Coturnix japonica: one gene and its partner. Each later gene encodes a partner of the first gene's protein in a complex. Links are inferred from orthologs where the notes say so. Each region holds a gene or a part of one and is shown on either strand. Other genes may lie near its edges.

Region 1 (16,197 bases):
TGCATAAGGAAACCAACGTTTAAAAAGAAAACAAACTCCTACATAGATACAAAATATCTTATCCCTATAGAATTAAGCAGTTATGTCAGTTTTAACACAGACAAATCTCTTTCCAAGTGGAGTTCACAATACACTGACCCACAAATGAACTGCTTATTTCGTTCACTGCCTCAACAATGCCAGAAAATTCACAACTCCCTCCTGGCCCCTATCTAATTGTGTCCAACCATCCTTACTTTCTGCTATCAATCTAAAAGGTTTAGAAAATCCCTTTGTATTTCAGTTTAAACACAAGGATTGGAATAAAACGGTCTTGACACTAATAAATAATAGGAGATCCCAGTAGTAATTGTCAAGAAACACTTAAAGAGCTATATTTATCACTACATTTATCAGAAGTTTGGTTTCTTTTCCCAAAACGGTACTTAGATTTTAGCACAGACCTGCTTTTCCCCCCTCAATTTTTTTTGTATCAGTAACTGTAATGTCACCATCAGAAATATAGCTATAAAACTCAAAAACAAACAACAGCTGCTATCAATCACAATAGTGTAAGCTGAGAAAGATTTTGGGAATCCAAATGCATCCTGAAAACTCAAAAGCATTCAGTGCAAATGAAACTGAGGAGGAAGAGCTGGGGAAGGGAACAAGCTTATGCTATGAGACAGGGCTTCCATTTTTCTACCATTACTTTGTTTGCAATACATACACAGCAAATTCAGCACCACTGAGACGCGTCAGAACGACTGCACAGAATACATAAATCTGACAGGTTCGAAAGTGAATTCAGCATGCACAAGTAGTCTGCTGAATGTGGAACACAGAGCCTATTTTATCACATCCATCATCCACTCTCTCTGCTTGTGCTAAGCAACTTCACACCTTTGCTCTAGAAACTGAAATTCCAGAGGTCAGAGACAGTGCTTAATTTAGAGTGAAACAGCAGTGTGCACTCATCCAAAAATCAAGGTACTGGAATCGAACACTGTAGTAACTAAGGCAAGCATCCCTCTCTTTCAATTAAAAGAAACCATCACATGTCCCAAAACTAATTTCATTCAAACATTATCTGAGATTCTGTTTGGTTGGTTTTGCGGATCATTCTTCTGGTTGCTTTTTCTCTTCTGAGTAACTGTTTCCCCTATTCTTTCCCTTTCTCTACATCCTTTTCAACAGTAGAATAAACATAATTATAGGTCAGTAAACTGACAGATTATGGAGATATTCAACTCTATTTCCTCAAAAAGAGCTGACTTCTCCCTGTATTGCTCTTTCCACTCTATTGTCTGTGTTTGCTTGGCAATTCATTTCATTCTTTGCCTTGACAAAAGAGACCCATGCTATTGCATCCGGTATCCTATCAAATGCATTTATTCAAACCTACAGATTATTTTTCTCTCCAAGGACAGGTTTTCAAAAGAGGAATGTCTAATTTAGTTTTTAAGGTCAGAGTCCAATTCTTTCTATTACTAATAGCAACTTTGAGTGTGGTTTTTTGTTGTTATTTTTTTTCCCCAAGGATTTCAATCAGCAGGCCTGTCTCAAAGACTCATCTAATTGAAGATTAGTAATTAAAAAAAAAAAAAAAAAAACCCTAAAATTTGTGCAAACTGAATTCAGACTTGAAATCAAAAATCACTCTTACATACTTGAGAACAGTATCTTTTTACTAAAAAACATGTACTTTTTTTTTAATATAGGGGGACATAGGAGCAACCCCTTCCCTTGTCTGATGGCAGTACTGGACCTGGTGCATGCCAAGGTGCAATGGGAAAAATCAATTCTTGTTTCTGCTGTTCTGCAGTCCTTATGAAACAGTTTTATGATGTTACAGTTCTGTAACTGAGGATGAACCACCATAGAATCATAGAATAGAATTACCCAGTTTGGAAAAGACCTCAAAGATCATCAAGTCCAACCACAGCCTAACCATAGTACCCTAACTCTAACAACCCTCTGCTAAATCACCATAGCAGATGACACCAAGTTGGGAGGTGCTGTCAATCTGCCTGAGGGTAGGGAGGCCTTTTAGAGGGATCGGGATAAGCTGGATTACTGAGTTGAGGTGAATGGGATGAAGTTCAATAAGGCCAAGCGCCGGGTTCTGCACTTTGGCCACAATAACCCCACGCAGAGAAAAGGGACCTGGAGGTATTGGGTGATAGTTGGCTGAACATGAGGCAACAGTGTGCCCAGTTGGCCAAGAGGGCCAATGGCAGCCTGACCTGCTTTAGAAATAGTGTGATCAGCAGGAGCAGAGAGGTAATTATCCACCTGTACTCAACACCGATGAACCCACACCTTGAGTAATGTGTTCAGTTTTCGGCCCCTCATTACAAGAAAGACCCTGGAGCGTGTTCAAAGAAGGGCAATGAAACTAGTGGGGGGTCTGGAACATAAATCTTAGAAGGAGTGGCTGAGGGAGCAGAGATTGTTTAGTCTGGAGAAGAGGAGGCTCAGGGGAGACCTCATTGCACTCTACAACTTCCTGAAAGGAAGCTGTGATGAAGAGGGACTTGGCCACTTTTCCCAGGCAACAAACAGGACCTGAGGAAACGGCAGCAAGTTGTACCAGAGGAGGTTTAGATTAGACAGAAGGAGAAACTTTTTCTCTCAGAGTGGTCAGGCACTGGAATGGCTGTCCAGGGAGGTGGAGGAGTCACCATCCCTGGCAGTGTTCAAGAGACATCTGGATGAGGAACTACAAGATCTGCTTTAGTAGCTTGTGGTAGCAGTGGTGACGGGAGCACAGTTGGACTAGATGATCTTGTATGTTCTTTCCAACCTTGTGATTCTAGGATTCTATAAGAAATGCATCCCAGATATGTCACCATAAACAGACATGACATACATATCTACATTTTTCATACTGCATGTAAAACTGGGCTAGTTCAGTAACAAATTACTAATGGCAATTATACAACTGAATACATATATTTAGGGTTTACAACTATTCAATTTACTATATGACACATTTTGAAGAGGTGGGAAGGAGAGTGACTCATTTTCCATAAATGGCTGTAAGACATGAAATTCACCAGCTGTGGAATACAGCTGCTGTTTAAAACAAAGTGCCAAAAGCACCATTTTTGGAGAATTGATCCACATTAAATAGTGGAAAAGGTATCCCAGCTTTTGGCTACCACAGTTGACTGCGTTTCAGAACCCCTACCATGCACATTTCAATGACAGGTCTTCCAAATCAACTTAGCAACCAGAGAAAAGTCTTCTTTTTGATTCTGCATGAACAGATCAAACTAGTTTTTAATGATATAGTTATCTTCTTATGTAACCTAGGAAAAGAAGAAATTTTTTACACTTAAATTACCTGGACAGAATAACCTAAACAACCGAAATGCCAATCAACACTATTCAGTCACAATTTAGGAGACTGCTGTGTTGGTTTTTTTTATGTATACAGTGAAAATGTAAGGCAACCACTTTCACAAAATCTAAATGGGCTACCTTAAAGACACAGATGAACTCCCAGTCTTGCCACCACACTGTGAAAATACATTTATAAAAATGTACATTTATAAATAAATACATTTATAAAAGTGTTATGATTATTTGTGTAAGAAATTCTGTCCATAGAAAAGCTACAAGCAAGACCAGATCAGCAATATAATTTGACAGAATAACATAGGAGGCAAGCCAAGGTACAGTTCAGCAACACACATGCAGTAGATTGACATGGTAAACAAAGACAGGATAAGCTAGGCATAAACATCACAGAAACACAGCAAAATCAGAACTGCAGTTCAGCTCGCACTCTATAGAAAGATAAGAGAAAACTGCTCCTGGGTTCCCCCAAAACTATCTCCTTGATGAAGACACCAAGTCCCCTCAGGCTTTTAAAAGTGCTCAGATCCCTAAACATCTTGACGCTCTTCTGCTAACTTCACTCTGGTTCACCAAAATATTTCTTGGTTATCCAGTATTCTAGATGCAGCTGAATGAGTGCAGTAGTCTGCTCCACCTTCTGGGTATGCTCTTGTTCAAGCAGGCCATGTTGCTTCTGGCCTTAGCTTCCAGGACATGCTTCTGGCTCATGACTTGCTTGTGCTCATCAGGACCTCCTGGTCCTTTGCAGGAGAGCTTCTCTCCTGTCAGTCTACAGCTTTCACTGTTCCAAAGGTTTCTTCATTCACAGGAACAGAAGTCTGCATTTCCTTCAGGATGCTCAGGTCACTGTGAACAGCAGCTCTGGTCACATATAGCAGCTCCTCTTAAACTTCCCACCTTCCTTGTCAACAGTTCATGCTCCCCTTGGCCTCTTCATGGCTTTAAGTTCCTACTTCCATATTCAAAAACCGTTTAAGACTAATACTACTTACAATACTTTCAACCAGCAAACTTTCAGCAACATCCAACTAGCCAAATTCAACCAACCCTGCAGCTGCCCAGATCCCTACAAAGGCCACTTTTAAGAACTTCATTTCCTCCAAACTACTTTTTACATACATCACAAGAACCTTCTCTTTTCCTACCAGAAATCAATGCAAAGAGGAGCATGAACATACAGAGTCATGAAAATGTAATTATACCCTCAAAACATGCTTTTCTAATTTTAAGTCGACAGTAAGATTAGAGATTTTAAAATTCATACTTGAGATTAATACCAATTACACTGATGCTCTTCTTCAGAACCATTGTGTTTTCTTCTTGCATAAGTTTTCTCTGACTGTACTGCTAAAGAAATGAATAAAAGCAAAAACAAAACTGACTATGGGATTAATCCTCTTAACATAAACACATCTGAACTAAACTAAAAGGCAGTTCAGCAGAAGAAACTAATAGCTCATAACTGGGAGTATACGTTTGACAGTTCATAGGCATTCAGTTATCAAATCAATTATATACACAAGAAAAAAGACTAAGCTCGGTCACTGAAACACTGCAGTGCAACAGGCAGTAACTAAAAACCAAGTTCAGGAGAAGGTATCATAATGCAAAGATAAAGGGAAAACCACTTAAAAGTCTCCCAGTTTAATTATGTTTTTGTTTATAGATGTTTATCTGATTTTAAAAGCTTCATCTGAAGTTTTAAAAAAATATTTCCACACCTATTCCAGTACAAATGGAGTTTTTTCAGAACTCTCCAATAAAAATTCACTATAAGCCAGGACTGAAACCCAGTATTTAAGAAGTTAAAGAGTAAAAAAGCAGAAGCATACAGAAGTCACCGATTTAAAGTGAAGGCTTTTTCATACTGCTGCAGTGTGCAAAGTTACTGATATTGAGGAAACCTCACATTCGAATTTCCCAAATTCTGTGAGTTTAAAGGTGAACTGTAATGCTGCAATATAACAGTTAAACGTAATAAAAGGATAAAGAAATTAAAACAAAAAGACTCTGGTTATGTGTTTATAATAGAGGTAAAGCATTATTTCCCTCTGAGATTACCTTTAAAAATCTGAGGGAAACAATCTTAACCATAAACTAGCTGTCATTTTTAAAAGAGAGATCAACTCCTCTGAATACCTAAAATTCTATGATCTTCACTCTAGTTGTCTTAAAAGATACAGATGACGTACCTAATGAACCTTTGTGAAGGAGCCTGAATACCCATGACCCAGCACAGATTCAGGAACCATCATTATAAAAGAAGCTGACAAATAATTATAACAAATGGAAGGAGTAATAATATATTATGATCATCATAACTCTGCAAAAATACATTCGTAAACACCATCATCTACTACTTTTTTTCCTCTTTGCTACACCGACTTCTGTGCTTCAAAGTTTTTGGGACACCAGACTTCAAGTGCCATCCTAATGTAGACAGTGTGGCAGGGGAGATTCAGGCTGTACATTAGGAAACATTACTTCTAAAGGGTGGTGAGGAACTGGAATGCACTGCTCAGGGAGGTGGTGGAGTCACCAATCCTGGGGGTGTTCAAGGAGTGACTGGATATTGTGTTGAGGGACATGGTTTAGTGGGAGCTAGTGGTAATAGGTGAATGGTTGGACTTAAAGTCTTTCCCAACCCTGGTGATTCTGTGATTCTATGATAAATCATAACAATTCAGAAAAGCCTTCCTTCCTGCCTCCTCATATATCTTATTAAAACAACAGAGAAAATTCAGAATCCATCTTCTCTGTTTTATAAACATCGCAACAATTTATCTTTATGATCTGTTACTTTAATAAAAGCATAAAACAAGGGCTTTTACACACTGAACATGTTCCTAATATTAACAAAATGACTAAAAGGATGCCAGCAAATATTAGGTATCAAGAAAACAACACTAACTTCCACTCAGAAAAAGTTTTTATAAACATTATAAACTGGGAAAGATATCACAGGAGTGACTATGTGAATAAAACCTCTTCTACATAGCAAATTACCCAGAAAGCACTGTTTAAACTTCCAAATGAAAGATGCAACTACAATGCTGGAAGGCTCCAACAACAACCTCTAATCTACTCAAAAGAACTATCCTTCTGAAGTATGAGTTCAAAGTCCTATGGCAAAAATCTAAAAAAATGAAACCTCACTAATTCTATGTGGGCACTGAGCAATACACTTCAAAACTAATTCTGTAATCGAAGCATTTGAAAGAAACAACCTAGAAGCAAAAATTTCTTTTAAATAATACTGAGAACAGTAGAATGATGTTCAAGACTCTCTTGTGAAGGTTTAAGTTAATAGCCAACATGAAACTGACAGTAAACTACATTTTATACTCAAAGGAAAGTCGGATTAAAGCCCTTTCCTAATTCTTCCTTTGAGAGAGTAAGAGTCCGTGACAAGAAAATTCATGATTTTGAAGTTACTGACTACTTAAGGATTATACAATATTTAAAAACAAATTCAGAAGAATACAATGTTTATATTCCATCCAGGAAAAAGCAAACAAAGAAAGAAACCACTTCCATTATTATCTGTTAATTTTGCATGTTCATGGAAAACACTTACAGACCTCTACTCACATCAGTGAAAATTTGGATCAGAAGCTGCAGGTTAAGAGTCTGTGCTTATGGGTAATGTAGATAAGAACATCTAAATTCCTTACTTTCGAGTAAATCACCCCAAAAGACAAAAAGTTTGCACAAATGGCACAAAGTAAAACAGCTAATGAAGATTTGCACAGGAGACAAAGCTAATTCCTTGATTCCAGGCAATGACTTAGAGAAGATCATCATATATGCAAACCAATTTATGTGTAACATTTAAGTTAATATCCACTAATGTGTTCTTACCAAGCCTCAGGCAACAAGAAAGCATATTCATGTGGTGAAGTAGTCTCTGGAAAATTGGAGAGAATTGCTTGTCTGTGTGGAAGTAAAGCTGATCCATGGAAAGTAAACAAGATTTCCAGGGCTCTGACATTGCTTTCCTAAACATAAAAAACAATAAACTGCAGAAGACTGATACAGACTGAAACAGAGCAAGTAATGCAAGTTTAAGTCATATAATGAACCCTTGACTTCAAAATTTTCTTCCTCAATAAAGAAAATTTGTTGAGTGTCCCCACATTTACTTATTTACAATCAAACAAAAACATCTTCCGCATAAACTTCCATTGAGATTCAACTACTTTCAATGGAACAAATAAACACCTAAACCAAAGAAGCAATAATGAAAAAAATTAAGAAAATGTTAATACCCGAGCATAAGTTCTTGCTGAAAGCACAATATTTTGATTTCTGAACTTCTTGAAGAATTCACCATCATAGTGCTGTTCAGCTGAATGGGGACCACCAAGGATTTCCTACAAACAAAAAAAAAACAAAAAAAAACAATAATTAAAAAATTACAGACCCGATTTTATACAAGATTTGCAACAGCACCCAAAACCATATACATCATACCACAAATAAACATAAACTACACCTGGAAAAAAACATGGTGGAGGCTTGCTTTCTTTTAGTTTGTTTTTGATTACTTTTATTTGTTGGTTTTAATTTATCTCAGTATGGAAAAAAATGCATTTCTGATTGATAAGCTAAGACAATTCTCTGCTCTATTCTAAATAAAGTTTCTACAGCATTAGTTACAAGGGGATGCAGTAAAAATCAACCTTCGTACTATCAACTGCAAAATTAAATTTAAAAAAAAAAATAAAATACAGATTTCCATTCCAAAAAGTTTTGTCTCTGTAACTCAAGAAAAGAAAAAGAGGAGAAGGAGATGAGAATCAGAATTAGACTGACTTATTACTTAGCCTGACTGATGCAGTTTCAAAGCAAGTGATCCTGTACTACATTCCACATCTCATACATTTGTATATTATTCCCTATCCTCAAAATTGTTTTATTATTTAAGATGCATCAGATTTCCCCTGACATTTTACTTTAATGACACACTCACGTAAATGCCAAGTCCTCTTAATAGCAACTAACATACACTTTTAACTAAACAATTGTTGCTCCAAAAAAAAAAAAAAAAAAAGGGGGGGGGGGAGGGAAATAGGCTGTTTCGCTGGCAAATGGACACAATATGTTCAAAGCATGCCCAACCATGCCTCAAAGTTAAAAGCTAGCCATCTGCAACCTTGAAGCAGGAAAAATACACTAGCTTGAATAGAAAACAGCTCACATTTCTCAAGTGAGAGACTGCTATATTTCAAGGAGACTATAAACAGTAATACTACAACATATAACAAAAAAAATATGATGATGTGACAAAAAAAAGTTACAGGACTATCTGTGTAATAGGAACTCAAAAAGAGCTTAAGCCATTACCAAGTTTCTCACCTCATAAGTTTCAAGGCGATCAAGGTAAGTTAACAACTTCAGCCTGCTCCTGCACAGTTCTTTTTGTTCCAGGGTCAGCCTATATCCAAAACAGATGTTTTCACATTTATAATCGACACCACATCATACACAAATGAAGACAATAATTACATATTTGAACAACTAAAATATACTGAGAAATTAATAAGCTAAGAACTTGGACACAATACAATACTAATTTTAAGTCTCCACTGCTTTTCTACTAGTAATCATGTACATGAACATAACTACATGCTTCTAACTACGTAGTTATAAGAATCTTGTAATTCTGAGTAAAACATAGATCATAACATTGCATTTACTTTGAGAAGTTTAATGATAACAGTAGTTCTTGATTCTTCCTGGACTCTTTTTCCTTTTTAGTGTCTGTTTCTTCATCTGGTGACAAGAAGTTTTCATAGGGAATACCAATGTCTGCCTCCCCTGGTAAGATAAATCTGGAGGACAAAAGAACAACCAACTCATGCTGGTAAAAACAACAGAAAGATGTAGGAAATAGCTATTAAATATGTCTATCAACAGAGATTTCTATTGAAGTCTTAAATAAAAATCTCAACTTCCATATAAAATTGTAATACTGAAATCTGCTACAGTAAGAAGCAGACATGCAGCCCAAGCCAACAAAAGGCATCACCTCTTCCCTACCCTCCTTAAAAAAATAAAACACAACAATGATGACTGTTAAATATTTCTAAATTCCAAAGGAAGCAGTGGAATTGGCAGCATTTCTATAGTGTACAATTGTAACAGATGACTGGATAAAGAAAGAACATCCTATTCCACCACCAGGAACTGAATAACAATCATCTCTGCAAGCATTTCTGACCCCTGTATTTTGCTCTGCTCCCCTCCTCAAATGAGTAACAAAGCATCACTACAACTAAGATACACAATAAAATATCCTTGTAGGAGCTGCAGCAGCTACCAGGAAAGGCCGAGGAAACACAACCTCACTGAAAAAATAATGACACTGGAAGTTCTCCAGGATGCATAAAATGATATCCAGAGAAAGCAACAAGATCAGTACAAAAGTACTTTGTAAAAAGTACACAGTCAGCTTGCGGGCATATTTAAGTACTTTGATTCACAGCACTGTAATTCTTCTTATGCACTTCATCAGCATATCATTATTTTAATTATTACTTATTACTTCATTAGTTGATTTAAACAGAAATAAATAAGAAAAAGAAATAACAAAAAAAAAAAAACAACAACAACAAAAAAAAAACCACTCTTCCCAAACCTGCCACCATCTTCTCCTTTTCCTATGGCCACAAGAGCCTCCAGGTCTGTGCCTTTTAAGCCATACTGAAGCAACTTCTTAGCAGCATCCACATTCTCTGGAACTCTTTCCAAACACTCATGAAGAACCCACGCACGCTTCTTAATTTTGCTCTATCCAAGAACAAAAGCATAGGCCCATTGTTACACATTTCATGGAATCTTAAAATCATTAAGATTGGAAAAGACCCCTAGGATTATCTAGTCCAACCAACTACCCAAAACCACCACAACCACTAAACCATGTCCCTCAGTGCCACATCTACCCTTTTCATGAACACTTCCAAGGACAGTGACTCCAACACTTTCCTGGGCAGTTAATACAGTGCTTGAGATGCAGCCTCACCAGTGCCAAGCCAATAGGAACAACCATCTTCCTACTCCTGCTGACTATTTCTTATATAAAGCCAAGATACCACTGGCCTTCTTGTCCAGTTGGGCACACTGATGGCTCATATTAAGCTGGCTGTTAACTAATAACCCCATATACTTTTTCCCCACAAAGTCTTCCAGTCACACTCCAAAACAATAAAACCAGAGACGTTAAAGCATCTTAATTTGTTTCTACCACTTAGAAAATGTCAAGTTAATCTGATGACTGTCAGTTTTCTCTCAGAGAGTGGTCAGGCACTGGAATGGCTGCCCAGGGAGGTGGTGGAGTTGCCATCCCTGGCAGTGTTCAAGAGGCTGAATAGGGAGCTAGGAGATCTGGTTTAGTGTTTTTCTGTAGGTATGGTAAAGGGAGGATGGTTGGACTAGATGATCTTGTAGGTCCTTTCCAACCTTGTGATTCTATGATTTGAACCAAAAAAAAGATGAGGAAAATACTCCACAAACAGTCATCTACAGTTTTGTTTATTAGTACATGAATTTTACTTTGTCCTGTTAATGTAATGAAGCTAAGACTCTTTACAAAGCTAATGAACAAATGCCAGATGACTTAACAGCAATAAGAACAGAAATTACTACTTCTGTTCTCTGATTAGTATCTCTGCTGATTATACTATCAGAAATATAATGTTTCGGAGATAAAGATATAGATATTATACATTCAACGTATTCCACAACAGCACCGGAGTCATTTTCAGTATTGATCTCTCCACATGCCTATGAGATTTTGTGACAGATAGGATGACTGGGAAAAAAAAAAATTAAAATCAGCATATATTTCTCTTGATATCCTGGAAGATTTTACACCACCACACACTGGTAGGTTGTGCCGTTTGACAATGCTCACCTGCTGGATTATTTTTTCTCATGCCAAAACAATCAAACAAAAAAACTATGTTTGATTCTACAGAAGAGCTTTAGTTACAGGCTGGATTTGATGCAAGTTTCATTATTCAGCCTTTGCTATGGATACCAAACTAACCTTTCCATATAGCTCTACAATACCTGGAAATTTCTTAACAGCAATATATTTGCAGTTATGATTTATTCCCAGGAAACAATCTAATGCTGCATGTGAAGACAAGATTACACTAGAGAAAGCACATTGATAGAAATTTCTCCTTGGAGATATTTTCTAATTTCAGATAAAAGCTCTAAGTCCTCCAGATCAGGCCTTCAGTTAAATTAACAAGATGACTCTCTCTCTTACATTTACACTCTCTTACACTTACAGGACAGCTCTCTGAACTGCCACTAGTTTATGCTGCATAAATTAGAACACAATGGAGATTTCTGCAAAGATTACACAGCAACTCTAAAAATAAAATATAAAAATAAAAATGCTGAAGTCATAAAAACAAACCCACCAAATAGTCTTGAATTGAAGCAACATTAACAGCTGACTTCCTCCACTGCCTTTGATACACAAGATCAGAATCAAGGCCATATGCCTGAGCCAAAGACAGAGCTTCCTCATATTCTTCATTATCAATCTAAAAAGCAAACACATGAAAATGAAAGTCAATATTAAACAATCAATAATTAATTCTCTGTGTTAAAACAGGTAGAGGGATAATTACTATGGGTGTGCTTACGCACGTAGGAAAGCAAACATAATGTACGATTAGAATATGTAGAACTCCTAACTCAGGCCAGATAGTAACCTCTAGGAAAACCACAAACTTCCCAGTAAGAAGGAAAGAAGCTGTGTAGGCAATCACTACAACAGCAGCACCCCCTGAAAACTCTAATAGCTATAGTTTTAGCTTATCATTAGAAGAACTGAAGTGTCCTAAACAAAGTACTGCCTTCAAAATAAAGACACATCTCTTATGCGATAAAAGTGAGTCACAAGACTACTTTGTATGCATGGCACGTCTCAAAAAACATTCATATAATAGCAATATCAAGGTATAGATTAACCCATTCCCTAGATAATAACAAGCTAAATTAATTTAATTCGATATATCCACCCATTCTTCCATTGTTTTTAAACACATTAGCACAACGAGTCTGGCCACACTAATGAAACATGATGACCAGCAAACATCCTGTTACTTCAATTACAATGCTGGTTTTACCTAACTTATGTTAGGTAACATGATACACTGCTGTCTATGAGGCCCTTAGAAATACGCACCTAGTGTTAAAATAGCAAGTCTTAAAAAATAAGAAGAAGAAAAAAATCTGTTCAATTAAAGCTCCTTACCAGAGATGGAATCTTCCCTTTTATACTCACTTTTCTCTGGTAAAGTTCCTCTGGAGTCGTGGACCTTAAGCTAACAAGGCGGAAATTCTTTGTAATTGTACGTGGACGTTTCCGTGGAGGAGCAAATCGTTCCATTTCTGTCACAAAATATAGGCCTTGCTTCAGGTAGCTGAAGTATCTGTCCTTAGCAGAATTTTCATCATCTGAGTCAGAGTCATCTTCTCCCTCATCTTCATCACCAGGTCTGCTCTCCAAGCGTAGTCTTTTTGGAACTAGTTTTATTTCACACTGCACAGAAGACAGTTCTTAAGGGTAAAATAGAAAGTTTCCACACAGTATATCTTTGTGACAATGAGGTACATGTCCACTTCCAGTACTTCAAATTTCACAGAATCACACAGAATCACAGAATTGTAGGGGTTGGAAGGGACCTCTAGAGATCATCAAGTCCAACCCCCCTGCCAAAGCAGGCTCCCTACACCACATCACACAGGTAGGCGTCCAGGCAGGCGAGTCTTAAATATCTCCAGAGAAGGAGACTCCACCACCTCCCTGGGCAGCCTGTTCCAGTGCTCCGTCACCCTCACTGTAAAGAAGTTCTTCCGCACATTTGTGTGGAACTTCCTATGCTGTCGTTTCATCCCATTACCCCTAGTCCTATCCCCACGCACTACTGAAAAGAGACCAGACTCACCACTATGTCTCCCACACCTCAGGTATTTATAAACCTGGATCAAGTTCAATTTCAAAATCAACATTTTTTCGCTTGTAAACCCTTTACTTCTCAGCTTGAGTAATACTCTCCACAAGCCCTGACTGGGTCTGTCTTCTAGATCTGAGGTTTCATCACTTTCTTACTAAAGCAAGGGCAAAGGCTTCTTATCAGTAGTCCATTATTATACTAGATACACTCAATCCTATACCATCCACAGACAGTACAGATCTACTGTTTACAGATCTATATTTAATCTCAGTATAATTATACAGCTTACTTCAGAGTGTAACAATGTTTTCAACTATTAGCTAAGCAAATTATGGATTCCTGTTCAATGCAGATCTATTTCCAAACTGTTCTTCCATAGGCTGTAACATGCCAGTCACTGGCTCTATTTCATTTCTTAAATAACAAAACTTGCCAGAAATGTGCGCAAAAAGCTCTGGTATGTACTCAGCTATTTCAGCTAAATATTTAAGATGTTTAAGATCTATTCTAGTGTAAGCATTCTTATTTTCAAAGAAAATTCCTGGTCTACTTCATTACCAAAGTTATGTTCTACTCCTGCCTAGAACCCTATTAAAGGTGAATAAAAAACAGATCCCTTCCAAGGCTTGGTCAATTACGATTTATTCCTTGCTTCCCGTAAACATACTCCCTCTGCAAGCATCTGTTTCAAAACAAGAGGGATGCTTGAAGTATTCTTCAAATGCACTAACAAAGCAGTTTCTTGTTTTGTTTTGGTTTTTTTAAGTGAGCTGACACAAACTGTTTCCTGCAGCAAAACTTTTTAATTCAGATGCAGGCTTCCAGAAGTTTTCCATCTACACTTGGCAATTACTTGTTAAGTGCAATTGCCACGTTACTTGGCAATTAAGTTTTTTATAGATATCTGAATTGCAGGAGGTTCAGAATTGCCTGCCTAGAGATAAAGAATCACTTTTCTTATTAATAAGCACATATATGCATGCAACATACACAACAGAACACTGCTTCTACTGCATTCCTTATATTTGCTTATGTGCATTCCTCACCTCCAGACTCAGAAATCCTCCATCGTGAGCTGAAGTGACCTGAGGAGAACTCTCAAACCACTCACATGACTTTCCCAGCAAGTTTCTTAATGTCTTGGCTGATGACACAGTCAATGCACCAGAGCAACGAGCCAGGATCACAGAACTATCTGCCCACCAATTTACATCTATCAGTGGGTAATAAGATTCTTTATCTGAAATAAAGAAATAAGAAAGCACCATATAAGGAAAGGCAATTTTAAACACCAGATAAGAACTGCAGTGGCTTCAACTATTAAGAGTTAACATCTGATGGTCTAAATTTAACAAGCATTTATTATTTTATATACATTCTTGGTTCACTGAATTTGTATTTTATGTCTGCTAGTTTAGTGAAACCATTCCAGTTAGCTGAAGGATAGGAGGGAAGGGGAGGGAAGAAGAAACTTAATTTTTTATTTAATCTGTTTGCTTTTTAATATAATTTGGAAAAAGAATTCACAATAAACTGATTCACTTGCATAAAACTTGACAAATCTTAGATGGCTGATAAACGCCTCCTTAATATTTCCCTAGACATCCTTGGTCAAGTCTCTCTAACCAAGATCATTATATTGATGAAACAAAAAAGGTTTCACTGCTTTTGAGGAAAACTGACAACTGTGAACAAGGCTCCTGAAACAGCCCACAGGGTGACACTATTAAGAAAATTAAAGTGCCAACAAGATTAAAAAAACAGCATAATGAGGAAGGAAACTGTGTCACCTGCATGGTAACTGGACGCTGGGACAAAATGTTCACCACAAAGAGCTAGCTTAATTTGTTTAATATATTATCACTTCTCATGTCTCTGAAAAAAAGCTATCTTTTCCCAAACAGCAGTTAGAAACAAATCAGCTTAACACTCTTCTGCTACCTCAGTGCTTAGTCATCTGGTTAGCCATGAAGATCTTAACCCAAAAATTGAATCACCAAGAAAACAGCACAAAGAAATGGGTAGCTTTTAATAACAAAAACAAATTCAAGCATCAGTAAATGGATCTTGAACAAGTAACAATCTGCACTCATAGAAGAGCCATGAAGTACCCAGGAGATAAATGGCTGCATATGATTAAGTGAATTTTGGGAAAAGAAGTCTGACATACGGCAAAACCAGACAAAGAACATAAGAGTCAAATTCTGAAAGAAAAGGAAACAAGCTCTTCAAATTGCATTAGTATTTGAGACGTATTAGATATATAGAATATATACAGATAGACAGAAAAGGTAAAGGTAAGCTTCTGTCTTAGGCTGTGGTCTCTAAAAATACGTTATCTATTGTGTTAAAAAGTAATGGCTTATGACACAAGCTGAGACTTCTGCTGAGCATTCAGCATTCCATAGAAGTAACAATTAATGAAGGCCTATATTTGCTGAAATATCCTTTTATTTATGGCTACATCTATGAAAATACTCCCAGGAGAGGATTTTTAAAAACCACATCGTGATGTTTATTCAGCTATACTATGCTACAAATTCAAATCATATACACCATCTTGTCAACTACTGTAAGTGTAGTTAAATTAAGCTATTTCAAATACTTTTATATTACTATAAATGCTTTTTAACAACAAAATGATTTAAAATAATAATTCAGCCATATCATGTACCTTTTATTTTCTTTCTTTTTTCACTAGACAGTTTCCAGTCTGGGTTGACTTCATCATAACCCGGCTAAAGAAATAAACACAAGGGAAAAGAAAGGGTTAATGTACAAGCAAATCTTGATATCACTCACAATCTGCATATTTACTCCATCACTGACCCACTCAGATTTCAGTGAAAATGCTCTGCCTTCATTTCATAGA
Region 2 (16,197 bases), on another chromosome or scaffold:
AGGAACTTCACACAAAGAACTTGTTTCGTGAATCCTTGCTGTAGGATGTATGTGATGGGAGTGGTAACCTCGTTAAAGTATTTCAGATTGAGCATGTTTTCTGCCAGTTTCTCAATATGATGGTTCTTTTGTGTTATCTTTAGTGAATTTTTGTCTCAACTCTTCTTGTATTTATGTTCTTGTGTTCATAGTGATAACATTCAGCAGTATCTGATGACCAACAATGTTCCGGAGGCAGCCAGTACTCTAGCGTCTATGGCAGAACTGGATATTAAACTTCAGGAGTCATCTTGTTCTCATCTTCTTTCGTTTGTGAGATCCACTGTTAAATTTTGGCATAAAATTCTTAAGGACAAGTTGTCAAGGTACAGGACGACTCATCACTCCCTCATTTCATGTTGTGCCGTAGCTTGGTGGTAAAGTGTGTGTTTTGTGTTGCAGTGACTTTGAAGAAGTGCTGACCCAGCTTCGTTGGCCATTTGTGGGGCCACCGCAGTCTCAGGCGTTTGGCCTTACTGCGCCAGCCAACGCTTCTGATGTTTACAACAATTTAGAGGTTTTGTTCTGCCAGCTTCTGAAATTGCAAACATCGTATCCTTTAAAAGTGTAAAGAAAATTGCCTTGGGGGTGTTGGTTGGTGCTTAGCTAAACATGAGCCAGCAGTGCACCCAGGTGGCCAAGAAGGCCAATGGCATCCTGGCTTGTGTAAGAAATAGTGTTGCCAGCAGGAGCAGGGAAGTGATTGTACCCCTGTACTCAGCTCTGGTGAGGCTGCACGTTGAGTACTTTGTTCAGTTTTGGGCCATTCACCACAAGAAAAACACTGAAGCCTTGGAGTGTGTCCAGAGAAGGGCAACAAATCTGTTGAGGTGTCTGGAGCGCAAGTCTTGTGAGAAATGGCTGAGGGAAGTGAGATTGTTCTGTCTGGAGAAGAAGAGGCTCGGGGGAGACTTCAGCTCTCTCTACAACTGCTTGAATGGAGATTGGTGTAACTGGTGATAGGGTGAGGGAACTGTCTCAAGTTGTGCCGGGGGAGATTGAGGTTGAATATTAGGAACAATTTTTTCTCTGAAAGAGTGGTCAGGCATGGGAATGAGCTGCCCAGGGAGGTGGTGGAGTCACTGTCCATGGAGGTATTCAAGAAACATTCAGGTGTTGTACTAAGGGACGTGGGTTAGTGGAAGAATATTGGTGGTAGGTGGGTGGTTGGACTGGATGATCTTGGGAATCTTTCAACCTTGGTGATTCTGTGGTTCTATTCTGCGATCCTGATCTGCCTTTGAGGTAAATCAGAAGATGCTGCTCATCCTGTTCCTTTAGTTTGAGGGTAAAATCAGGCAGAGATAAAACTCAGGCTTTTTTTTCTTTCTTTTCTTTTTGTTTTTTCCCAAACAAACAAAACCCAAAACAGGAATAAATGTGGTCATGTTATGCAACGTGGCGCTGGAACAATTCTGGTTGGTTAGACCAGGCTACTTGCACCAAGGTGGGAAATCACATATTGCAAGTATTATTTTAATGAATCTTTGATAGTCCTTTACGAAACATGGATGGATGTCTCTTGGGTACAGGTTTGGGAATGATGATGGGGTTCTGTTTCTTTTCATGATAGTGATTTCCTAAACCATACTGACTTCAGTGACTTAAATTGTCATTGAATAAATAATAATTAGCAGCCAGAGTTATGTTAAATATTTTATAAAACTGAAACGTTTTGAGCATTGTTCAAATTGGAGGCATTTTATAGCTTGTGTGCCTTCGGACAGTGAGGTAGAGCTAAAACGTATTTGTTTTTGTAAACCCATTGTATTTAAATGATACTTACAGAGAAATTCAGCATTTCTCCTTGACTGTCAAACTTAGAGATGAGCTGTTAACCAAACCCAAACAGCTGCCAGAAAAGTACTCCTTACCTCCATCACCACCTGTTATCCTCCCAATACAGATCATGCTGAATCCTCTGCAGAAAAGATTCCGCTACCATTTCACTGGAAATAAACCAACCAATGTTTTAAGCAAGGTATGGAAAGAAAAAAAAACAGTTTAATTTTATTGCTACTATTTTTAGCAGCATTAAATTACGTAGCTTTAATGCTTTCATTTTGGAAATTCAGTTTCTTAAAATACGTGGTACTTGTATGTACTGTATGGACAGGCATCAAGGCAGTGCTTGGAGACCTTTGAGAGGACTAACATCTTTTCTGGGCTAGGCAATGTTTTTCTGAAATCATTCCTGCATTCGCTCCCATCATTTCAGAAGCATAGATTAATTTAGTCTTTGTCTTTACAAATTGTTTTGCAGTGTTCAGTATTGCTTGAACTCAAAGACTGTATAAGGCTCTGACTTTGATTTTTGTTGTTGTGTTTTGCAACGTTCATGTGACTGAAAATACTGGATCCTGCTGCTGGTGTATAATGGGTATAATTCTATTTGCCATGTGTCCAGTTTACTAGTTGGAAATTGACTTGCTTTTTGTATGAGTTATCTCCAAAGGCTGAGTCTTTTCATCCAAGAACTGTCATGTAAGCAGGTTTCTTACAGGTGTAACGTTAGCACTGCTGTAATGCTTCTGCAGCAGGATTTGAGAGACACTTTTTGTAAGAGATTAGATCTGTGTGTTTGTGTTGACAGTCTTAGGCAAATCAAAGTGTATTTGCACTCTGGCAGTTGCTACTACAGCGTATTTTTAATAGCGTTATGTATATTAGTGAGTTCACTAATTTAATTTTCTTTTTTAAATAAGCCTGAGTGGTATTTGACACAAGTGCTCATGTGGATTGGAAATCACGCCAAGTTCCTTGATGACAAAATCCAGCCAATATTGGACAAGGCAGGATCGCCAGTGAATGCTGGGGTAAGCACCTCAGTGGTTTTGTGTATGTATAAGTACCTACACAGCTTGTGCAAGCAACTCTTCTGCTGATCTTAGTGTGCAGTGAGACTTAACACAGTCCAGCAACAGTTTTAGAAGTTAAATACATTTGCACATATTTATACATGTCTATACCTCTGATTTTTCTATTCACTTTTTTTTTTTTTTTTTCTCTTTTAAAAGCTTGAATTCTCTCGTGCTCTGGTAATGCTGATTTTGGAGAAGCTGGCTACTGATATTCCATTTGTGTTATATGACGACACTCTCTTTTGTCACCTTGTGGATGAGGTACTTCTGTTTGAGAGAGAGCTATTCAGTGTTCATGGTTATCTCAGCAGCTTTCCCAGTTGCATGCATATTCTCTCAGAAGAGTCCTGCTTCCAGAGATGGCTGACAGTGGAAAAGAAATGTAAGACTTGGAAGGAATTTTGTTGGTCTGTATATGTTTTCATTCTGATTGGGCAATATATCAATTCCCCAGGTAGGATGAGCCACTTAAACTACAAAAGACATGTTTTTGAGGTCAGCAGTGAGTAGAATGCCCAGGGGTCAGCATTGGTGCAGTCCTGCTTAACATCTGTACTGATCTGGACACTGGGTGGAGTGCACCCTTGGTAAACTTGCAGATGATACAGGACTATGGGAAGTGGCTGATTCTCCATAGGGCTGTGCTGCTACCCAGAGGGCTGTGGACAGGCTGGAGCCCAGGTGGGCTGGTTATGGCGAGAAACAACTGCTGGCACAAGGACATACTGGAGGCCACCCAGCTGGAAAGCTGTTCTGCAGAAAGGGATGTAGAAGCCCTGGTGGACACTAAGTTGAACGTGAGCCGGCAATGTTCTCTTGCTGTCCTGAAGGCTAATGGTGTCCTGCATTAGGCAAAGTATTGCCAACAGTTCAAGAGAGATGATCCTTCCTTCCCTCTATGCTCAGTACTGGTGAGACCACTACTCCTGCAGCAGTACTGTGTCCAGTTCTTCCCCCGCCAACATTATGTGGGGAGACATGGACATACTGGAAAGAGCCCAGTGTAGGGCCACCAAGATGATAAAGGGACTGGAGCACCTCTGCTGTGAGGAGAGGCTGAGAGCTGGGGCTGCTCAGCCTGGAGAAGAGGAGGCTCCAGGAGATCTCATCACCATTCCGTTCCCCTCTACTCTGCCCTTGTGAGGCTCCACGTGGAGTACTGCTTCCAGGCCTGGGGCCTCCAGCACAACAATGACGTGGAGTTATCAGAGTGGGACCACAGGGCCATGAAGATGATTAGAGGACTTTAGCATCTCTGTTATGAAAAGGATGAGGCAGCTGGGATTTGTCAGCCTGGAGAAGAGAATCATAGAATTACTCAGGTTGAAGGCCTCAAAGATCATTAAGTCCAACCACAGCCTAACTGTAGTACCCTAACAACCCTCTGCTAAATCATATCCCTGAGCACCACATCCAAACAGCTCTTAAACACATCCAGGGACAGTGACTCAACCATCTCCCTGGGAGCCTATTCCAGTGTTTAACTACCCTTTCTGTAAAGAAGTGCTTCCTAACATCCAACCTAAACTTACCTTGGCACAACTTCAGGCCATTTCCCCTTGTCCTGTCACCAGTGAGATTTGCCTCTTGATGAGAAAGCTCTAGGTAGAGACCCCATTGTGGCCTTCTGGTAGTTAAAGGGAGCTTATTAACAGGAGACACGATCTTTGTTAGTTTGCTGTGGAGGACATGGCCCTGGTCACCCTGTTATAGGTGCTCCTCCTTAAGCAGGAGTTTGGTCATACAGACCCAGGTCCCTGCCAGCCCCACCCATTCTGTGATACTCCAGTATTCTGTGGTTATTTTGACTAAAAATTGGTTTGGCTGCAGTACTGCTCCTGAAGTTTATAGGACCATTGCCCCTAATCTAGTATGGTTATTTAACATATAATCTAGGGATCTAGTATGTTTATTTTTAGATAGTGTTATACGCTTATTTGTGCAAAGACTGACTTGAAATTGAAACGAAGGGAAGGTATTAATTTTTGAGGAAATGGGGAGGAAATATACTGGAAAGGAACCAGTCATTTAAAACAGAAACCACAGTCAACCCTGATGTTCTGTTTGTGTCTGTAGTGCTGTTACTGCAGCTGGTTCTATATAAATCAAGTCATCGGTAGTTTTTCTTTACATGAAGACGTTAAATTCAATTTATTGGAGATAAAGATTTTTATATTTATGGTTTTTTGGGCTTTAGATAATTGCTTTTATTATTAAGTACTAACAGCATTTACAATTCTTTTGCATCTCAGTTGCTCTTCAGAAAATGGACTCTATGCTTTCATCAGAGGCTGCATGGGTATCACAGTACAAAGATATCAGTGATGTGGATGAGATGAAGGTCCCAGACTGTGCAGAAACTTTTATGACTCTGCTGTTAGTTATAACAGGTAACTGCAAATCTATGGGTGTTCCTGTTGTTAATGAGTAGCAGAAAAATGGCAGCTAATTGATTGCTGTATTGAAGATTCCTTGTGTGAGCAACAATCACTGAGTAAAGTTGTTGCAGTGTTGCGATAGTTAAACAGTTTTCATGTTCCTCTCTTGTGTTTTGGGCACAAATGTCAGGACAAAGAATCTGGAGCTAGTGGCATGTTTAGGAAGTAACAACTGAAAAATGACATTTGATATTTACCACCCTAATGCTAGAGATGTTACAACTTGTCACAGTGCAGTAATAAAAATACATCGCTATTCCTTTTCAATCTCTGAGAACTTAAGAAGCAGATGTTACTTAATAGCTGTTTAGAACAGGAGCAAGGATGTTTTCAGAAGGCCTTGTTTGCATACTCACTGCCTTTGTCGTACTCTGCATCTGGCTTCAGGAGCCCCATGAGACTGCTAGATGGTGAGCTGTGGTAACATTACTTAAAGCGTTAGAATACAGTACAGAACCATGATGGGATGGAAATCCCAGTTATGTTGTTTGTTTACATACTTAGCTTTTGCAGTGAGTAGTTTCCTTGATACTGTTGTGAGTTGGGTGTTTTGAAGCTAAGTGCTGTCTGATGCTTCATAGTAGTAAGGATATATAGTAAACTGCCAGTAATGTTTCTTGTTCAAAACACTTTTCTTCAGTGCTGGAAAATACCAAACATAATATTATAATGATAACATTATATTAATTCCCAGACAGGTATAAGAATCTTCCAACGGCTTCCAGAAAACTGCAGTTCCTGGGGCTACAGAAAGAGTTAGTTGATGATTTTAGGATACGATTAACTCAAGTAATGAAGGAAGAGAGTAGAGATTCTTTAGGCTTCAGATACTGTGCGATCCTCAATGCCGTTAACTACATAGCAACTGTGCTGGCTGACTGGGCAGACAATGTAGTAAGTAAATATTGTGTTTTAATATGAATTCAGCTTGAATAAAAAAAGATATTGGTAGATTACTAGGCACTGTTCTAGTTTTATTGTTGCAGATGGGATGGGGAACAAGGACAAGTGATTTTGGCTATTTGAAAGTGTTCTGCTGTCTTAAAGCACATACTTATTATTTCTCTGAATCTGTTCCTTTGACCAGTCTGCTGTTGTATTTGAAACCCGTATCAGTTACAGTGTTAGGATTAAAGCACAGTGCTTTGTTTTTACAGACATGGGGACCATGAGGACATTGTTTTTATAATCTTAAAATTGTAAAACAATGAGAGTGTCAGAAGAGTGTTTTCTAGAACCCTACCTGTTAAAAGTACAAATGAAAAGTTCAAATAAGGTTATTTTTGGTAGTACTTACATCTGACTGTCTTTCTCCAGTTCTTCTTGCAGCTACAGCAGGCTGAACTGGAGGTCTGTGCAGAAAGCGATGCTGTCAGCCAGCTGCAGCTGGGGCAGCTGGCTTCAATGGAGAGCTCTGTCTTTGATGAAATGATCAACCTCCTGGAACGCCTGAAACACGATATGTTGAGTCGTCAAGTGTACCACGTCTTCAAAGAGGTCACAGATGCTGCAAAGCTGTACAAAAAAGAGAGGTGATTCCATCTGCTCACACTCTTCTTGTATTGCAGTGGTTTCTTTTTCAGTTAAAAACACTGAGGCAAATAAAGGCAAGAATAGAAAAATAAGAAAAATCAGTTTTCTGAATAGGAAGGGCTCAGAGTAGTAAGCATCTGAAGGTTTGGTTTTACACTGACATCAAAGCTATTTAACATTATGTTTTCTAAAGTACGTCTGCAATAAATGGGCACATTACCTTAAAAAAACAGGATAAGTATAGTTCAGATGAGAATTGTTCTCTGCAAAGTAGGATTAAAAGTGGCATGTAGTGACTGCTTCTGTCTTCACAGAATCTCAAGGTTTCTTGGCTGGTTGATGATGAGTTCCTAAAATACTTCAGTAAACAATTACAATAGCTCAGTGATTACTTTTAGCCTTGACATGGAAGGGGAGAAAACTGCACCATTGGAAACAGCTGAGATTTAAGTGATATTTTAACTTCAGCTATTGTAACATGAATAATTTCATTGTGATGAATTCAATGTGACTATTTCTTTCAGGTGGTTATCTTTACCATCTCAAGCAGAGCAGGCGGTAATGTCTTTGTCAAGCACAGCTTGCCCAATGTTGTTGACTCTACGGGACCGATTGCTTCAACTAGAACAGCAGCTCTGTCACTCTCTGTTTAAGATATTCTGGCAAATGCTCGCAGAGAAAGTGGACACTTACATATATCAGGAGGTGGGTGTTCACAATATACACGTGGTACAGTGTAGGTGATGGTGGCTGGCCTAAACAGAAGATACACCCGTTTCTGTTGGCAGATAATCATGGCGAATCATTTCAACGAAGGAGGAGCAGCACAGCTTCAGTTTGACATGAGCAGAAATCTTTTTCCTTTGTTTTCACACTACTGTAAGAGGCCAGAAAACTACTTCAAGCAGTAAGTAGGAAATCCCATCTGTCAGTATTTCAAAAGAGGATGTCCAGATGCATGTGTTTTACACATCAACAAGGATTTTTTCAGTTTGAGAGGGGAAGAAACACTTAAAATATGTGGATCATCTGTGCTCCTAGGGAGGCACAGTGTTGACATTTATAACAGAAAATACTTAGCAAGAATAAATAAGCTATTTCATAGAATCATAGAATGGCCTGGATTGAAAAGGACCTCGATGATCATCCAGTTTTAACCCCCCTGCCGTGTGCAGGGTCACCAACCACCAGACCAGGCTGCCCAGAGCCACACCCAGCCTGGCCTTGAATGCCTGCAGGGATGGGGCATCCACAACCTCCTTTTAACAATAAACTCTACTACAGAACCAGGCACTCAGCACTTCCAGCTACGATCTAGCAAGGAGACCTGAATTAAATCAGAAAACCTCCTTGGGCAACCTGTTCCAGTGCATCACCACCCTCTGGGTGAAAAACTTCCTCCTAATATCTAATCTAAACCTTCCCTGTCTCAGTTTAAAACCATTTCTCCTTGTTCTATAACTGTCCACCCTCATGTTTGTTTTATGCAGTACTTTCCAGTTCAGTACTTCTGATCCGTTTCAGAAGTCAGCAGGAGCTTTTTTCCTTAGTTGCTGGGCATACAGAATTAAGTATCCTGTGGTTGCTTCTATTACTAATCTATGTATACCTTTTTCCCTCTTATAGCATCAAAGAAGCCTGCATTATCCTGAATCTGAATGTTGGTTCTGCCTTGCTTCTGAAGGAAGTACTGCAGTCAGCCTCAGAAAACGAAGCACCGTTACAACCAAACCAGCCATCAGCAACAGCAGCGTTAAATGAACTGGGGGTTTACAAATTAGCACAACAGGATGTTGAGATTCTTCTCAATTTGAGAGCTATTTGGCCAAATGCAGGCAAATAAAGACTTTCTTCAGAAGTGGTTAAAACTTAATCTAGATCACTTGTTTCAGAAACATAAGCAGCGAGCTGTGTCACGGCTGTGAGCTAAGCTTAGTTATTTTACATACAGTTCCAGAGAGATGACTTGAAGATGCTCCGGTCCTGTCTTCTAACCACACAGGTCTTACTTTGTTTTCCATCACTGCTTTGTTTGCACACTTAGAAGCTGACGGGCCCTTCATTACTAATGAACGTGTTACTTGTTCTCTGATGATCTGCCTTGTGGAGCTGCCGTGCTGTCACCTTGATGTGATGAATACAGGTGCATGTGTGTGACTGCAGCTACATACAGCATGTCCAGCTGGGGCACTCTCACTTAAGCACATGTGTTTTCCACTTCTGAATCCCCAATGCAATGGGTGTTCTGTGTTAAAATGTGCACAGGAAGGCTGGGCATGGAATGAAGGAATATATCACTGTTTTATTTATCAACACGAATTCAAAATTCAATTTATTTCTTTTGCTGTCCCAAAGTGCCCTCTATTTTTTGAACAGGACTTCATTTATGCTTGAGCTTTAAAGGCTGTTATTTGGCAGTGCTGTCTTTCTCCAAACATGAACGTGCTGAAGCTGCTGAAGCTGCTGATGTTCTTTTTGTACCAGCACTGAAAGGCCACAGTTGGAGGAAGAAATGCCAGAGCACGCACTTTGGATTTGTAAAAGGGGTTTCTACTTAATCAGGCGATCTTATTGTAATTAATACATTTCTAGTGCCTGGTAAACATAAATGTGTTTTTGTTGTTTGTTCTTTACAGCTAAAATGGATGGGGAAAAAAATAAGTGCATATAGTCATAAAACAATAAGTGCATATAGCAATAAAGTCAGCTTGACGCACTAGTAAATGGATGAAGCAAAGCAGCTATTCTAAATACACAGAGCACAGCACTGTTCCAACTACTACACGGTCCAGCCTTCCAGCAGTGTTTTCAGCCTAGGACAGAAGAGAACATCTGGTTAGGCAAGTTAGGATAACTGGTTTGGTTATTTATGGTGGCTGTAAGTTACCACACAATGTCCCTTGAAGGATACCATAACCAGCAGCAATTAGAACAACCTGGAGCTCGCTTCATTGCCGTGTTACGGCCTCTGCTGTGGTAAAACATCAGGCAACGACAGCTATTCTATGCTGCTGTGGCCTGCAGGATTGCCTGATGCTGCCTGGGTTGCACGACCCTTCCCACCGCACTCACATCTCTTCCTTGAACGTGGCCAGTCCGATCTCCTCCTCGTCCCAGACGCGCAGCTCCGCCGTGCTCAGCCCCAGCGTCTCAAGAGCTGGGGGAAGGAAAGCGGCCCCTGAGCAAGTCTTCGAAGGATCGATTTACAAGCAGAACGCGGCCGGGATGTCATTGTAACAGTAAACATCTTTAGCATCCCGAAGCGCGGGCTGTGTCGGCACAAGTGCGGACGGGACCGACCTGCTCGGCACTGCCGGCCCGTGACGAAGCCGCGCCCCGCGGCGTCCATCATGCGGAACATGGTCTCCACATCCGCCTCGTCCAGCACTGCCGGCATGGCCGCCCCGCCGCGCCTCGCCGCTCGCACCGCTTCCAGCGTCTGGATCAGGAACTGCCGCGGCCGCTCTGTAACGGAGCGAGGCCGGGGCTGCTGCGGGCGACCCGAGTCCGTCCTTCGGGCCCCTCCCCGCGGCCACCCCGACGGTCTCCTGACGGAACCCGTCTCCCTCCCCCCGTTCCCCCGTTTCCCCTCAGCCGCTCCCCGTGCTCCGCACCGGGCCGGTGGTACAGCAGCAGCGCGGCGAGGCGGTGAAACAGCGCGGGCAGCCCGTGCCGCTCCAGGTAGTCGCGGCTCTGCTGCTCGCCCGCCGCCATGGCGCGTTGCTACGAGACACAGCCGCCACAGCCGCCGGGCGCCGCCCCTCACAGCCCTCAGAGCCGCCAGAGGAGGGAGCGGGGCGGTGCTCGGGGCCGGGAGGGGGCGGTGAGTCCACGGCGTGTGGTACCGAGCGGTTCTGCTTCAGCGGGCAGCGGCCGTAACCAGCGCGAAACGCACCGCCACAAACCGACACCTGCAGTGTGAGCACAGCAACCGCAGGAGTCAGTCAGCGCGCTCTGTGAGGAACGGATCCAGGAATCACCAAGCGAAGCCCATGGGGACGCACACACACACACACACACACACACATATATGTATCATTTCTTTGTTAAGAAAGCACAGTTTATTTCCTTGAAAAACGTCTCGGGTGAGCTCTGAGATGCCCCCCTGGGCTGACACGGGAGGAACTGCTTTTCTGGTGATGGAGAAAAGCAGGATTTGACAAAACAACTGAATGATTCCTGGGTTCACCACAGCAGTGCTGATAATTCAGTTTTAATCACATCTGCAAGGATCAAATCTATTTTTGTGTGTTTAATATGGTTACTTATATAAACTGAATTTTGCTATAAGACTATCTGCTGTGGCAAGGAGATGAGCCTCTTGTAGGACACAACACATAACTTCAGACTTCCATCTCATTACAAAGGACTGCACAGACTGCAAACAGGCCTAAAGAGTGAAACAAAGAGGAGCAGGGCCTGCAGGCACCACAGGTTCTGCACAGAGAAGTTCTTCACAGAGAGAGTGGTGAGGTGCTGGCACAGGCTGCCCTGAGAGGCTGTGGATGCCATGTCCCTGGAGGTGTTCAAGGCCAGGTTGGATGGGGCAGCCTGGGCAGCCTGGTCTAGTATTAAATTGGCAGCCCAGCATGTAGCAGAGGGTTGTTGTGGGGCTGTTCCAGAAAGTAATGCCATTTAGTCTGTGACACAGTTAGCCAGCCTTTGTGGAAGGGTGTCTGTGGCTCTTTGGAAACAAAGACTCACAAGAGTCAGTACTGGAACTCACGGGAGCGAATGGTCCAGTAACACTGCAGAGTAGAAGAGGCTTTGGAGAGTGTTAGGATAAAAAGCCCAACACAGAGTCTGTTACATGCTCCAGGAGCAAACATACACTTGGCTTGTTCTCGGCTGAAAGGAGCACTTCCCTTTGGCTTCTTTGCAAGTGTCCAGCTCCGCAAGACAACCCAAGCGAATGGAAAGCTTTGTGTTGTTGAGAGAAACTAAGTACTATGGGCTGATGTGCCATACATCAATGGTAGGGAAGGTTAAAGGGTTGACGTAATCCTTTCCAGGCCACATGTGCTCACCTGTGACACGGCTCTCCAAATCAGCACTGAGTACATTTGCCACTGGGAAGGGAGGATGGCTGCTCTTCTGCAGTGATGCTTTGTCACTACTCCCCCTCCCTGGCTGGGTCCAGGCCCAGATGCAGACACACGGGACTCACAAGTTTATCGGCCACTTACTGCATTTACACCACGAGGCCCTTACAGCCGTAGCATTCTGTACATTTACTTTATGCCAAGCAGCTTTTCTGAAGAATGAGTCCTGTGTGGTGTCACATTAATCTGAGCTGCTCTGAATCAACCAAACCCTGCTTTAACTTCAGAACCAAACCTGACAGGTTTGGAAAACACACAGAGGGGCAGTAGGATGCTTGGCACCACATGGAATCCCTTCTGGTGGCTCTACCTTCAAAATGAGTCTCCCCTGGATCCTGAGGATTTCTGGCAAGCGTCCCTTGAAATGAGGAAAGCTTTTGGAATTCTTCCTTTCTCCCTTCTGTAGGGAGAGCTGCTCACAGACTCCATCTTCATGTTGCTGCAGGTCAGCCCTAACCACTACAGAAGGCACCATCCTCCCTCCCCAAAAAAAGAGAATCCAGCTCATGTAATTTGTGATGCATTACGAAACGAGAACGGGAGAGCATGCATGCCATCTACCGTGCATTCTGCAGCTGGGAACTCAAAGCAGGGCCTGCTACTGAGTTAGTGGCTGCATCTGCTTTCAGCCTAGGAAATGAAGTTTTAAAAGTCGTCTGTACTTGTTTGGAGTTGTAACTTTCAGGAGGTGCTCATGGAGAAAAACAGCAGGAAAAAATGCATGAAATAAACACAGTTCAAAAGTCTGAATCTGCTGCGTGAATCTCCTCCAAACATTTCTGGAACCAGAACTTGGCCTGGCTTCCAATCATCAATCCTGACAGATTTGGATGAGTAAAACAGATCCTGGTTGCAGAAAGCAGTGGCTTCTACAGCAAATATTTCTCTGCTAAGAACAGAAGCCTAAGAACTGGAGTGCAATAAATAAAAAGTTCTGGCGTGATTTGCTTACCTCTGCAACCGGTGGCATTTAGAGCGTGTTAGATAATAGGAGAATACTGTTGCGAGCAAAATACTTGTTGCATAACCCCGAAGGGTGTGGGAAACCAAACAGAGAACAGCTTGTAAAGCAGGACAGCAAAGCTGCGAGCGCTAATAAATGACTCAGTCATATTTGGAAAATAAACGCAGGGTCCTTGACCTCTGCTGGCTGTGAGCGATGATGGCGAGCAACCAGTAACTCGTGGCTGCAATAATCTCTTGTCTTGTTTGTATCCCTGATTTCTATTGTCTGTAAGAAACACCATCTTACAAGCACAGTGTCTCTCCAGCTTACATGGAGATCGCTCCCTTTCAGATGAAACTTCGATGTTTCCTGTGACCAAACGCCGTTTGGTTTCTCTGCTGCATACTGAAAAGGATAAACTCAAGACTAAAAAGAAAAATGAAAATATAAGCAGCCCAAACATCCTGTGCGGTAAAGGGGAAGTTCAGGATTAGCTTTTGCCACAGACATCAAGAAGAAGCGAGACATTACACAGAAGGCTGTTCAGCTAGAAGGTAAAGTCTTCCTACTTCTGTTTCCTGTAACCCAGGGCAGCTTGCTATCTCCTCTGCCTGTTCTAAATGCACGCATACACAACCCCAGCTTGATTTCTTGCTTCCAAGGCCATGCTGCAATGATGTCTCTCCCCTACAGTATCTCCAAAATCGTTGTTCCTAACAGAACAACACGAAGTGTACGCGTTGCCCAGACCAGCAGAAGAGGTTTGCTGAAAGAAAAACCAGCAATGCTCTGCATAGAGCTCACAAGGCACCCAACAGGGTACGTCTCATCTGAGCCGTAACTGGAGCGGGCTTTTACACAGAACAAGGATCGCAGCACTCAGAGATAAAGGCTGCATTTCTAGAATTAACAACAGCAAAAAAGACCGTCTGTATATTTGCACTGCTCCTTGAAGTCAGAATTCCTCAACCCAGCAGCTCTGGCGAGGTTAATTCTTACACCAATAAGAAGAAAACACATTCAGCTAAGGAAAGGAACTTAAGCATAACTGATCGGTATAGGACCCTCGGTGGCTGAGGACACACGTGTGTGTAAGCACAGGGATATTTTAGACACGAGTGCCAAACATATTTCCAGATCAGCTCAGCCCTGCAGAGGGAGCTGGCAGATCTCCGGCACAGCCTCGCACTGCTGGCATCCACCCGCATGTCAGCCCCAGGGAAGAACAGGGGCAGCCCTGCAATGCAAACTGCTTCTCCCCTGTGAAGGGAAATAATGGCAAAACTCAGCTGTTTCTTACAAACATATAAATTATTTTATTTACAAAGCCATGTTACAAAAAAAAAAAAAAAAAAAAAAAGATAATAAAATTAATAATAATAATAAAGCAAAAACAAAAACAAAACAAAACAAAAACAAAAATACAATCGCTCACTAGAGAATATCTCCAGGCCCGGTGCTGAACCATGGCAGTATCAATCAGATACATGTTTGTTCTGGTTTTCCTTTTTTAAACTGTAAGCCATAGAATTTACTATTTACACCTACTTTAGACATTGATTCCGCTTACAATTATCACAAGCATGGAATGGATTCTATCTGATACTGCTAATACATAAAGGTGCAGGACAAAGAATGAAAATACTTAGTGTTACAAAATATGGGTTGTAGAAAAGAAATTGGCTGTACAAGTATGGCGTTTCTTTCTCAGAATGATTGGACATGCTTTCTTCAAAAGTGTTCTGGAAAAGGTTCTAAAATCTGTAGTAGGAAAGCACAATATAGCAGGTGCAAATTCATTTCTGTGCAACAACAGTTATTTATTTAATATACCCCATGACTGACCAGCTATGCAAAACCCACAGAGTTTTGTTAAAGTGCCATGGGTCGACAGCATAACAAAATATAAGGTGTAAATAGAAAAATTTCTTTTTTTCTTCTTTTTTTTTAAAACAATAGTTCACTGAGAATCAGCAATAATAGAATATGCTGTATAAACTATTCTCTACAAAGGTCGATCAGCACTATTTACAATTGTTACATCGATACAAAAGAAGGCATACAAGTTATCCAAGTCGCTTTTTTTTTATGGCTGACGGGCCTATGCATTGCGTATGTGTAACAACCAAAGCTTCTGAGCCTCTATTGCTGGAAACAAATCACAATTTTCAGGCAAAGGGTAACGAAAAAGAACTACCGAGTGAATGCTACACTAAGAATGCATTATAGGCTGGTCCAGTTTATATCCATTTTATTCAAACGTTTGCTTCCATTTCGCTTTTCAGGCTGAAATTCTCGATACTTGTAATTAAATAATGGTTATTTGACGATGAAAGACTGTGGGGTTTTACTTGGTGCTTAACGTTCCCCAGTGTTGTCAGCTGTGAGCTGGTTGAAACAAAACAATTAAGCAGCATTCAAAGGACAGGCTCCATATTCCAGCTTCCCAGTTCCAAGAGGCGCACAAGGAGCTCAAAGCCCCCGCCCAGCAGCACAGCACTGCCTGCCTGCTGCTGAGCGCTGCACCTCACCACCACCCTCTGCCTCCACAACCACAAACAGCCGCTCGCTGATTACAGACGATGACTTTGTTACTGAGATTGAGAAACTCCTGCAATTTTAGAACTCGAAATAAATTAAAACAAAACAAAACAAAAAAAAATAATCAACATAGCACTGCTCCTAAAACTGAACGAGACAAAAATTGTGCAAAAATAACAAAGATATGTACACGTTTTTTTCAGTCTGAAGAAATGTACAATAAAAACATAATTCAAAGAACATCTTAAAAATATAAACATTGCTTCAACTTTCCTAAGTTTCACACTGCTTCTGAAACTATACGGTCAGTTAGCTCTGAAGTATAGCAAAACATAAATTATTACAAAATTAACACTATAAAAATTTATTTTAAGAATATTTCTAAACTTTTTTTCTCAAAGGGCCTAGCCTCGCTTAGAATTGCTTAAACATTTTTAGTCTTAAAATTTACCTTAAGCCTTCTTTTTTTAAAAAAGAAAGTAGTAATAATCTCCCTATTTGCAGTCTCTCGCCTCTCCCCAAGATGTAAATAAACCAGCATATAAGTGCACTTTTAACACTGTAGAAATAAAAATCAAATCCTCTGTACTACTGTTTCATTGTTCATACCCAGCATTGGCTTCCTGATTAGAAAATCTGCATTTTATTACAAAATGATGCGGTAATCCTATAAGAAACACTGTCAGTGCAATTCTATTAACGCAAGCCAATCTGCTCAACGCCTGTCCTCGCGCACC

Evidence for each region.
Region 2: NBAS (region 1) and RINT1 share a complex: the UniProt entries of both Homo sapiens proteins name them as parts of the NRZ complex. The link is inferred for Coturnix japonica from reciprocal best matches to the Homo sapiens genes NBAS and RINT1.

Annotation. Positions count from the first base shown.
Region 1 is NC_029518.1:90,203,118-90,219,314, forward strand, and holds part of NBAS (neuroblastoma-amplified sequence), read right to left. Parts: intron 16,064-16,197; coding exon 16,000-16,063; intron 14,566-15,999; coding exon 14,372-14,565; intron 12,911-14,371; coding exon 12,653-12,910; intron 11,907-12,652; coding exon 11,781-11,906; intron 10,138-11,780; coding exon 9,986-10,137; intron 9,180-9,985; coding exon 9,045-9,179; intron 8,783-9,044; coding exon 8,704-8,782; intron 7,719-8,703; coding exon 7,614-7,718; intron 7,344-7,613; coding exon 7,207-7,343; intron 1-7,206. UniProt on the Homo sapiens protein: Involved in Golgi-to-endoplasmic reticulum (ER) retrograde transport; the function is proposed to depend on its association in the NRZ complex which is believed to play a role in SNARE assembly at the ER. Required for normal embryonic development.
Region 2 is NC_029516.1:12,591,811-12,608,007, forward strand, and holds the end of RINT1 (RAD50-interacting protein 1), read left to right. Parts: intron 1-191; coding exon 192-365; intron 366-441; coding exon 442-591; intron 592-1,863; coding exon 1,864-2,020; intron 2,021-2,744; coding exon 2,745-2,855; intron 2,856-3,056; coding exon 3,057-3,282; intron 3,283-5,152; coding exon 5,153-5,290; intron 5,291-6,032; coding exon 6,033-6,232; intron 6,233-6,655; coding exon 6,656-6,870; intron 6,871-7,395; coding exon 7,396-7,576; intron 7,577-7,659; coding exon 7,660-7,778; intron 7,779-8,497; coding exon 8,498-8,714; 3' UTR 8,715-8,760; downstream 8,761-16,197. Other genes in the region: EFCAB10 (EF-hand calcium-binding domain-containing protein 10), read right to left, coding at 9,651-9,684, 9,944-10,028, 10,172-10,336, 10,486-10,585. UniProt on the Homo sapiens protein: Involved in regulation of membrane traffic between the Golgi and the endoplasmic reticulum (ER); the function is proposed to depend on its association in the NRZ complex which is believed to play a role in SNARE assembly at the ER.